Regions from separate parts of the Mus musculus genome. Here region 1 is reported to be linked to region 2. Evidence: microRNA targets listed by miRTarBase, many of them from high-throughput screens and not tested one by one. Region 2 holds a microRNA gene; the other region holds the end of a gene's coding sequence.

Region 1 (5,058 bases), not on the chromosome of region 2:
CTCATGAGACCTTAACCCCAACCCCCACGAATGAAAGAAGAAAAATGGGGGAGAGGCTGAGGGAGAAGCCACAGGAAATTAAAAAAAAAAAAAAAAAAAAAAAAAGGATAGAGATGTAAAACAAACAAACAAAACCAGGAACAGTAATGGGAAGAACACAGCAGGAATGGGCTGAGGATTACATGGGAAATAAATAAAGTGCTAATGACTCTTGGGGAAGGCTGGCCCTGAGAGGGAGGGCACATATTGGGATGGTGGTGGAGCAGGACCGATGTAAGCCCCGCCTCTCAGTATGGGTCGGACCCTGCTCCAGCCCCACCCCACTCAGGAAACACTCTCCCTTTGGCAGTCAGATTTGGAGGGATGTCTGGGGGCTGTGGGGCAGAGGAGTCTGCGAAGACAGCACTCAAGGGCTTGGACTCTGCTAGCGATGGGGGAAAAAAAAACCCAACGTTTAGAACATCATCCTTTTGAGAGGATGGACACACGGAAAGCGGGAGGCGCCTGTGCGTGAAGGGAGGCCAGGGATGCTCCGAGCATCTCCGAGCCTGTTGTCTCCAGGAGGCTACAGCACGACACAGCAGTGGCCTGAGGAACCTAGGAGTGGCAGAAGAGAGGCGACAGCGAGGTGGGGATGGCACACAGAAGTTTCAGGTGGCGGAAAGGAAAGGAATAGCCAACCTGAGCAAGACTGGAGGGGAGAGGACACAGAAAGAAAGGACAATGGAGAAGGAGGTGCCTGCCTGACCTAAGTTTGGCCGCGGAGGCAGCAACAGTAGCGCCGCAAAGCAGATTAGGATCCAGCGCCTCAAGGATCCAGGCCCAGCGTCCAGGCCGCGCAATGACGTAGCCATACATGAATATTGTCCCTAAGGGCAGCAGAGATAGCTGCGGCGTGCTGTCACGTGCCCACATCCCAGTACGCGATGGCGTCTTCGACACATGACTGACCTGGCGCCAAGAGCCTGACCGTGCCTCTTCAGGTCCTTTGAGTTCTGGCATCTGGACCCACTCTCGTCCTTAATATGACTTCAGATCCCTTGACTGGGACTGGGTCTTAGATTCCAGATCTATGACAGCACCCCTAGTGCTCTAAGATCCTGGCGGTGCATCTGGAGCCTAACTGGTCAAAGATCCCTGGGCTGGGATTGGCATCTTGATGCCCATCCAGCCTCAGGGTATACCTTGTTCTCAGCCTGTTGCACAAGGAGTTTCACGGTCACTATTAACAAGGACCGGGAAAGCCCAAGAAAGCAAATAACAATATGGTTAGGAAAAACGGTTTTGAGAACGTAATAGCTGAACTGGATCTAAGACTAAATCAAGATAGGAGCAGGGTGCTGAATAAAGAAGGCAGCTGTCCTCTTCCAAGGACCAGCAATATGACAGGATGTTACCACTGACAAATACTGGCTAGTTTTTGTTGTTGTTGTTGGTTTTGTTTGTTTCTTTTTGTTTTGTTTTGTTGCCTGGCTTTGGGCATAAAGAGAGCTTGTCACAAAAGGATGATCTTTGTGGATTTACTGAGCCTAGCAGAGACTGGGAAGCGATCATCAAAATTCCTCTGTTTCCTTTGTTTATTCCAGGTGTCCAACAGAGCTCTGGGGACCCCATCACCCAGCCTGTTCGTTTACATTTTATTTTTATGTGTATGAGTATTTTATCTGTATGACTGTCTGTGCACCACAGTATGTGCCTGATGCCCACAGAAGCCAGAAGGCGGCATCAGATCCAATAGAGTTGGAGTTAGAAGCCACCATGTGGGTTTGTGTGAATCAAATGTGGGCCCTGTAGAAGATCTTAATCCCTGAGCCAACTCTCCAGGCCCCCAGCCTGGCGTTTAAATGAATCTGAATAAGTAAACGGTGCCAATCGCATATCGAGGCAAGCAAGAGAAGGTTGCCTTCTGCCGCTGTGTGGTTCCCAACGTTAGGCCTCCTCCATACAGCTGGACCAGCAACGCCTGGGAACTTGCTAGAAATCTTCATCCTCAGGCCCTGGCCAAGACTTCCAGAGTTGAAGTTGAAAACTCCCTTAGTGAGACCAATGATATGGATTTGTTTGTTTGTTTGTTTGTTTGTTTAATTTTTTATGACAGGGTCTATGGTGGTTTGAATAGATTTGCCTCCCCCCTCACCCCCATAGATTCAGGTGTTTCAATGTTTGACCATGGAGAGTGGCACTTAGGAGGTGTGGCCTTGTTGGAGGAAATGCATCACTGTGTGGGCGGGCTTTGAGGTCTCCTGTGCTCAAGCTCCGCCCAGGGTGGAATCAGAGCATCCTCCTGGCTGCCTGCCAACTAGAGTCTCTTTCAGCTGCCTGTGGATCAAGATGTAGAACTCACCGTTCCTATAGCACCATGCCTGCCTGCCCACTGCCATGCTTCCCGCCTTGGTGGTAACAGACTAAACCTCTGACGCTGTAAGCCAGCCCCAATTAAATGTTTTCCTTTGTAAGAGTTGCCTTGGTCATAGTGTCTCTTCACAGCAATAAAACCGTAAGACAAGGTCCATTTCTGTGTAGTCTTGGCTGGCTTTGAACTTGTGCTAATCCTCCCACCCCTGCCTCCCAAGTGCTAGGATTACAAATGTGTCCCATCACTCCTGGCAGCAATGTGGATTTTAACAAACTCTCAGCGTATGCTCACACAGGTGAAGGGTGGACCATGAGGCTAAGAGTGGGACTATAAAATGGGGGAGAGCTACCTGTCCACATAGAATAACGCGCTACAGTGAGCAAAATTAAAATTGTTAGTCTACGAAGAGCTGGCGGTTTCTGGAGAGTGGAGGTGGTTTGGGTTTTTGTTGTTGTTTTGACACAGCACTTCCTGTATCCCAGGTTAGCCTCAAACTCCATCTGTAGCAAAGGAACAACTGATTGTCCTCGCCTCCATCTTTCAGATGATGGAGATACAGGCAAACACTACCTCAGCAGGTCAATGTCCAGTGATAATTTTTTTAAAAACATCTTTGGTGATGTATGTGTTCATGACAGAGATGCGTCTGACAGCAGGGTGTGGAGGCACACACCTTTAATCCCAGCACTAATTCCAGGACAGCCAGGGACCCCATAATGATATCCCATCTCAAAAAACAAACAAACAAACAAACAAAACTGGGGGTGGAGGATGGGTTCATCCTTCCTTGGGCAACGGTTGGAACTGAATGCCCACAAAAGCCATAGAGGACAGAGGATGAAACAGAGACCCCAGAAAGACGAAAGTGGGAGAGGGAGATTGGAGGAGACCTGTGAGCAAATCAGTATTCAGTCAGGGATACCAAAACCCAGTGTGAGGTAGAAGAGCTGCATACAGTGTAGTGAATCTTTCTTAAAATCCTCCTGACTTTGGGAACACGGCCTTTGAAAATAAAGTCACATTAATAACCAGAAGAAAGACTTTTTCTCATGAATCAGTTTCATCCCTGCGGGCCCTCCCGCCCCCACCCCCACCCCAGTTCCTGCCTCCCCTGAGCTGCTCCTGGCTGGCTGTAAAAGTAGTGAAGCCCAGCAAAAGTTCCTGCCCAGGCACACAGGGAGCAGGACTCAGCTCTTCTGTCTCTAAGAGGAACTGCGAGTACTTCCCTAGGTAAATGGGGTCCAGTTCTCTAAGCCAAACACCCCAGGTGAGCAGAGCTTCACAACACACAGGACGTTCTCCAAACATTTATTCAGTTTACGTTTGAGATCTCCCCTCTCCAGAACCTCAACGCAACTTGGGATGACCCTGGATGTGACCACTGAGGTACTGAGGAAGGGGGCCAGGCAGGACTGCCTTCTTGTGAAGCCTATGAGGCAGAGGCTATGCATTCCCTGGCAGATTCCCAAGTGGGTACAAGATAATTTCTGCCAGCTCCCAAATACTTAAGTGCCAACCTCATACCTCTGTAGGGAGTTGCCAGTGTTCCCTTCCTCCAACCCTCTCGTTCTCCATCTCTCTCTCTTTTCTCTCTTTTTCTTTTCTTTTTTTTTTTTTTTTTTCTTTTTTGAGATAGGGTTTCTCTGTGTAGCCCTGGCTGTCCTGGAGCTCACTTTTTAGATTTTTAGACTGGCCTCAAACTCAGAAATCCGCCTGCCTCTGCCTCCCGAGAGCTGGGATTACAGGTGTGTGCCACCACACCCGGTTGTTCTCCCTCTCTTTCAGTGGTCACTAAGCTGTGTGATGTAAACAGAGCCAGGTGATATTATCTCTTCTTGGCAGATGTCCCCAAGATCATGGAGTCATGGTTCTCCACCTAGCAGGCAAGCTGGCCCTCTAGTCCAGGTTAGTCCACCAAGTGTGGGTGTATCATGAGGCAAGTAACCAGAACACCAGTCAGAGCACTTTGCAGCCCCCAATCTCCCTGCCACAGTCTACTGTGGCAATAGCTGCTAACTGGAATTTGAAGAAAGGGCAGAAAGACAGAAAGGGAAAATGGAGAAAAGGCACAGTGGGAGACTCAAAACTCTCAGGAAGACAGGGCCTAAGGAGGTCACAGAGCTACCAGGAGGGCCAAGGGAAACACCAGAGACAGGTATAGGACCAAGACTCCCATGGGATCCATACGGGAAGCCTGACTTAAGACATAGCTGACCCACTCATTGTACTCAGCGATGTCTGTGTAAACTGAGAGGACAGGGACTCCATTGCAGTTGATGCCCCAGCTCATGATCCCCACCTGGGTCCACGTGTTGTCAGATTCGCAGACAAGGGGGTTCCCAGAATCTCCCTGGAAAACAAGAGGAAGAAACCAATGGCTGGGATGGAAGAGAGAGCAGACTGCATTGCAAGGTGCTGGGACACTTTCTTGGGCACCCAGAGCCTCTCCCAGGCCTAGCTTCTTTTAATGACTGAGATCTAACAGATGAAAATCTCCTATGAAAACATCAACATTCTCTAGGCAACGATACGTGCTCGGTGATGATTAGGCACACAGGCACAAGTGGCGAATCCAATGGAGCCCAGAATAGCAGTTGTATAGTGAAATATACCTTGAGAGTCCCTAATCTACAGGTACCAAACCTGTCTGAGAAACGCCTAAGCCTGTCATAACTCATAACCCAGCCACAGTGGTAGCCCTG
Region 2 (5,072 bases):
AAGTCCAGAATTCCTGGGACTGTGGATCTCCAAGTGTGGAGACCATATCATCAACATCACCCGGAAACTGATGGATGCAAACACTTGGGCATCAGGGCAGAAATTTTAATCAGCTAAAGAACACTGAGTTCCCAACAATTTGTGTTCAGTAAGACTTCAGGTAATCCCTGTGCATGTGTGCAGGTACGAGCACTTGTGTGTGTGTGTGTGTGTGTGTGTGTGTGTGTGTGTGTGTGTGTAATACACATGTGAGAAGGATGTGTTTGCACTCATATACACACTTATGGGAGCCAAAAGAGTACATACCTCTTTCTTCAATGCTTCACACTTTTTTAAGGTTATAAGGAATTTGATGTGTAAACCAGATTGGCCTCAAACAGAGATCCACTTATCTCTGGCCCCCAAGAGCTGTGCTCAAAGGCCTGCCCAGCGCACTGCCTTGCCTTGCCTTGCCTTTCCTTTCTTTCCTCTTTTCTTTTCCTTTTCCTTTTCCTTTCCTTTTCTCATCTTTTCTTTTCTTTCCCTTCCTTCCTCCCTTTCCCCCTCCCTCCCTTCCCTTTCCCCCCATTTTCTCTTCTTTCTCATCCTCTTCCTCCTCCTTCTAAGATCTTATTATGTACCCTGGTTAGCCTGGAACTCTCTATGTAGATCAGATTGGTCTCACACTCAAAAAGATCCGTCTGCCTCTGCCTCCCAAGAGCTGGGATTAAAGGTGTGCACCACCCTGCCCAGTTCATCATGTTATTATTATTATTATTATTATTATTATTATTATTATTATTATTATTTTTGAGACAGGGTCTCACATTGACCCTAGATCTTGCCATCTTGGCTAGGGTGGCTCAGCGGTGAGCTTCCAGGATCTGCTTACCTCAGCCCATGAAGTTGGGGCTTCAGATGCGTGCAGCCGTACTCAACTTAACATGAGTGCTGGGGATTTGAACTCAGATCCTGTTGCTTTCACACAGGCTGCTCTTACCCACAGAACTGTCTTCCTGGTCTACACTGCACATTTTTTCTAGGGTCACCAGAGTGGACATCCATCCAGAGCCCACCTTAGTGTGTTTATTTGTTTTGAGACAAAGTCTCCTTTAGCCTGGAATAGTTTAAACTCACTATGTAATCAAAGAAGACCTAGAAACTATGATTTTCCTGCTTCTACATGGTAAGTCCTGAGTGTCAAGCCTCTACCACCACGTCTGACTTACCCAAGCTCTCTGCCAACAGGGCTACATGCCAAGGCCCATTTATTTGGCTTGGTTTTAGTTTGTATTTTGAGACAGGGTCACACTTGCACTGCTGATACCCTGGCTACCATCTCTCTCAGAGATGGACGTCACAATTAGCTCTCTCCCCCGCCTCCCTCCCCTCTCCTCCGTTGCTGGGAACAGAGTAATATAGAACTGAGGGTTGTATCTAGAACAGACAGGGAAGGGGCTGGGATGAGGGAGGGTGAGCATCCATCAAGCTAAAGGGTACAACTTGAGCCTTATCCAGCATGTGTTATATATAGTTCAGCCTGGCCTTGAACTCATAATTTTTCTTAGATTCCTAATTAATCAGATGACAGGCTCACACCATCACACCTTCCTTCTGGTTGCTGGTTTGTTATCCAAGGCTGGAGTGTAAGGGGAGGTGGTACCAGCTGGACAAGAAAGTAAGGAACACTGTTGATGTTGATGGCTCAGTACCAGCTAACAAGACTCCGTTGCCTCAGCTAAAATGATTTGTCCTGAAGCTGTTGGGGGCATGGGCTGGGGAGAGGTGGCAGTTTAGTTTGAGGGCATTTATTTGTTTATGGTTTTATTGAGACAGGGTTTCTTTGTGTAATAGAGCCCTGGCTGTCCTGGACTCACTTTGTAGACCAGGCTGGCCTTAAATTCACAGAGATCAGCCTGCCTCTGCCTCCTGAGTGCTGGGATTAAAGGCATGGTAACCACACCCAGTAGCTCAGGGATTATTCTTCCATTAGTAACTCCTTAAGAACTGTTCATCCAGCATTCTTGGTTTGTGGTGGTTGGAAGGTCAAGCTGCGTGCTTCAGGGGCCCTGCTAGAACTCCTCCTGGTCTCTCAAGAGTGCCTCCTTTCACTGTGGGGTATTTTAGCCTTCGGCTATGTCCAGCTTGTTTTCTTACCCTGTTCTGGGGACTAAACCCTGTCCATTTAGCTAAATCTCCAGCTCCATGGACAACCTTTTTACGTTATGAAATGGCACTGCTGTCCATGAAATCAAAATACCAGCTAAGGAGATAGGGAGTCAGTTAGTCATCTAAGGACCTGCATATGAAGCCTGGCTCAATGCAGTGCCATCCTATTGCTGGAGAGGCAGAAATTTGGAATCCTGGGACTCACTGGTCAGCCAGCCCATTGAAGCAGTGACCTATAGGTTCAGTAAAAGATGCTGTCTCAGCCGGGCGGTGGTGGCACACGCCTTTAATCCCAGTACATGGGAGGCAGAGGCAGGCGGATTTCTGAGTTAAAGACCGGCCTGGTCTACAGAGTGAGTTCCAGGACAGCCAGGACTATACAGAGAAACCCTGTCTCAAAAAACCAGTTCCAAGTGATCCAACACCCTCTTCTGGAAATGTAGGTACCAAGCAACCAAGCACTCTCTCTCTCTCTCTCTCTCTCTCTATATATATATATATATATGTATATGTATATATATATATATATATATTCAAAACACTCATATACATAAAATGAAAATAAACCAATCTAAGAATAAAAGTGTGCTGGGCATGTTGGCCCACACCTTTAGTCCTATCAGGAGGTAGAGGTAGGAAGATCTCTGAGTTCCCAGTCACCCTGGTCTACAAAGTGAGTTGTGTGACAGCCAAAGTTACACAGAGAAACCCTGACTCCAAAAAAAAAAAAAAAGCAACAAAGCAAGCAAACAAAAGCGTGTGTGAGAAAAGGTGAAGCCGTGTTTTCCCACCTACAAGGGCAGTGTCTTGACACCAGACTAAAAGTCCATTCAGTTGGTCTGTCCCACTGATCAATTCACACAAAGCACTCAGATCTTGTGTGAAGACACCAGAATCACGCCCGCCTTTCAGTCTCACTTATTCTCCCCTGAGTTTCCTCTCCTTGGCCCTCCACTCGCTGTCCGAGGTTCTAGCTGCATGGTGGTCTCTTAAAAACTGACAGGGTGGGCCTCTGGCCCCTCAGTGCTCCCTGTCCCTCCCCAGTCAGTGCCTTTGCAGGAGGATAGTGATTAATGGCCAGCAAAAAGGGAGGTCAAAGCTGAAGGTCCGAGATGTCATCAGTGGGGCCAGGTTAGGATGCTCTTGTGACAGTCACAGCTACTTTGACCTCCTCTCTTCAGTCTCACCCCAGGTTCCCATACCTGGGCAGAGGTAGAAGTGGATAGTGCTCTCTTTCCAGACTCTGGGGTGTCACAGTGTCTCATCATAGAGGTTTTGTTTGTTTGTTTAGTGTGGTGTGTGGGGGTGGGGGGCGCGCGTAAGCGCGAGTGCGCTGTGATATAGGCTGACTTAGAACTCTTGATTCTCCTGCCCCCCACCCCACCTTCTAAGTGCTGGGATCACAGGTGTGCACCTACACTAAGCTTACTATGGCTTTCTTAATGCAGGAAACCTAGTAAAAGTTTAATTAAGAGTAGAAGGCTCACATTATCATATAGGGGCCAACCTAAAGGTTAGTACTGAGGTCTCCAAGGCTGCAAGCCTTGGGAACAAAGGTAGCCAGTAGGGGGTAGTGGCCGGAAGCCACCACTAGAATCCTACCCACTTCCTCTCCATCCAGTGTCTCCAGAGGTGAAAGACAAGCCAGGTCTCTGAGGAGTGGCCAATGCCTGTGTACAAATCCTGACCTCAAGCCTCTTTTGAAAAATAACCATAGCCAGACACATACCTTTTAGGCTTGCTACTTGGGCTAAAAGAAGTTTTAAAGGAGCCGCAAGGAATTTCCCAGTGAGTAGCGGCTTGCCTTGGTTTGGGTTGCGGGCTTTCCGAATTGAGGCTTCTTGCAGCAGCAGAGTGGCGGCTTTATTCTTTAACGAGTAAGAAAAGTAGGAGTGTGGAGTAAGAGACAGAACAGAGCTAAATGGGTGTTTACCCTCCACCCGGGAACCCAGACAAGGCCTCTAGCAGGGGGTCCAGGGCCCTAAAATCCAGGGCTGGGCAGCAGCTTCACTTTCAATCGTCCACCTGTATCTCCTCATCTGATAAGTTGGGCTCAGAATCGGGCCCTGAAGGGCCAGGGTCAGGGCTTGAAGTGCTGTCTGGCAGTGCTGGGTAACACAGGACTCCAGGGGACAACCCGCATAGGGAGGCCACGTCCGCGCGCATCTCCTCCACATCCCGCTTGAGCTTGGCGCGACGGTTCTGGAACCAAGTGACCACTTGCGCATTAGCCAGGCCCAGTCGCGCAGCAAGTCCGTCGCGCTCTGACGGTGCCAAGTACTTCTGGAAGACGAATCGCCGCTCCAGCTCCAGCACCTGCTGTGCAGTGAACGCTGTCCGAGACTTGCGGCGTCTCCGGACACCAGCGCCAGGCCCCGGCGGCGCCTCCGGGGCGGCTCTGCCTGCCAGGATGAGACGGAAATGTCAGTCTCGGCTTTGGAGGAGGCTGAGGTCTGGATGGAAAAACTTAGGGTCGCGGGGCTTAAGCAGGTAGAGGGAGCGGGGTGGGCCAGCATCACGATCCCTATACACCGGGTCAGAACCCGGATTCGAAGTGCAGCAGGCCTGTGGGAATGCTGACGACAGAGAGATGAGATTACTCCAGCGGGTAGAGGGTGAGTGGGACTGACCAGAGATCTGGTACGAGAGTCAAGACCGTTTGGAGAAGGTCTCTGACGCCGTTTGGAGCTCCAGGCTGTGCGTGGTAGTAAGTTAGAGGCCAAATTGAGGTCGGGTGACCCATCTGGCCAAATAAAGTCCTTAACACCAGCTCTCTTTCCGGGAGCCCAAAGGGAAGGAAGGCAGGCGGAAGGCGGTTCCTGTGCCCAATAGTGCTGCAAAGGATCTTCTACAGGGCTCAAGAAGTGACTGGGGCTGGGGCTGGGGCTGGGGCTGGGGCTGGGGCTGGGGCTGGGGCTGGGGCT

The links. The annotated mature microRNA mmu-miR-3470a reads UCACUUUGUAGACCAGGCUGG and lies in region 2 at 1,853-1,873, shown strand. An mRNA with a match to its seed (bases 2 to 7 or 8) in the 3' UTR can be bound and repressed. Matches are read on the target gene's strand: a 7mer-m8 pairs with bases 2 to 8, a 7mer-A1 pairs with bases 2 to 7 and ends in A, and an 8mer does both.
Region 1: the mRNA of Prss43 is a reported target of mmu-miR-3470a. Seed matches in the 3' UTR shown: 7mer-m8 at 4,319-4,325 and 7mer-A1 at 4,026-4,032.

Annotation. Positions count from the first base shown.
Region 1 is chr9:110,830,430-110,835,487 of GRCm38, reverse strand. Prss43 (protease, serine 43) reads right to left here. Exons shown (of 6, transcript NM_199471.1): 6 at 3,981-4,706. The coding sequence ends at 4,470. It overlaps Prss45 (protease, serine 45), which reads right to left and starts at 900. Exons shown (of 6, transcript NM_153172.1): 1 at 749-900. The coding sequence starts at 854.
Region 2 is chr6:83,087,161-83,092,232 of GRCm38, reverse strand. It overlaps Mir3470a (microRNA 3470a), which reads left to right and starts at 1,846; the gene lies at 1,846-1,922. It overlaps Lbx2 (ladybird homeobox 2), which reads right to left. Exons shown (of 2, transcript NM_010692.4): 2 at 3,990-4,550. The coding sequence ends at 4,162.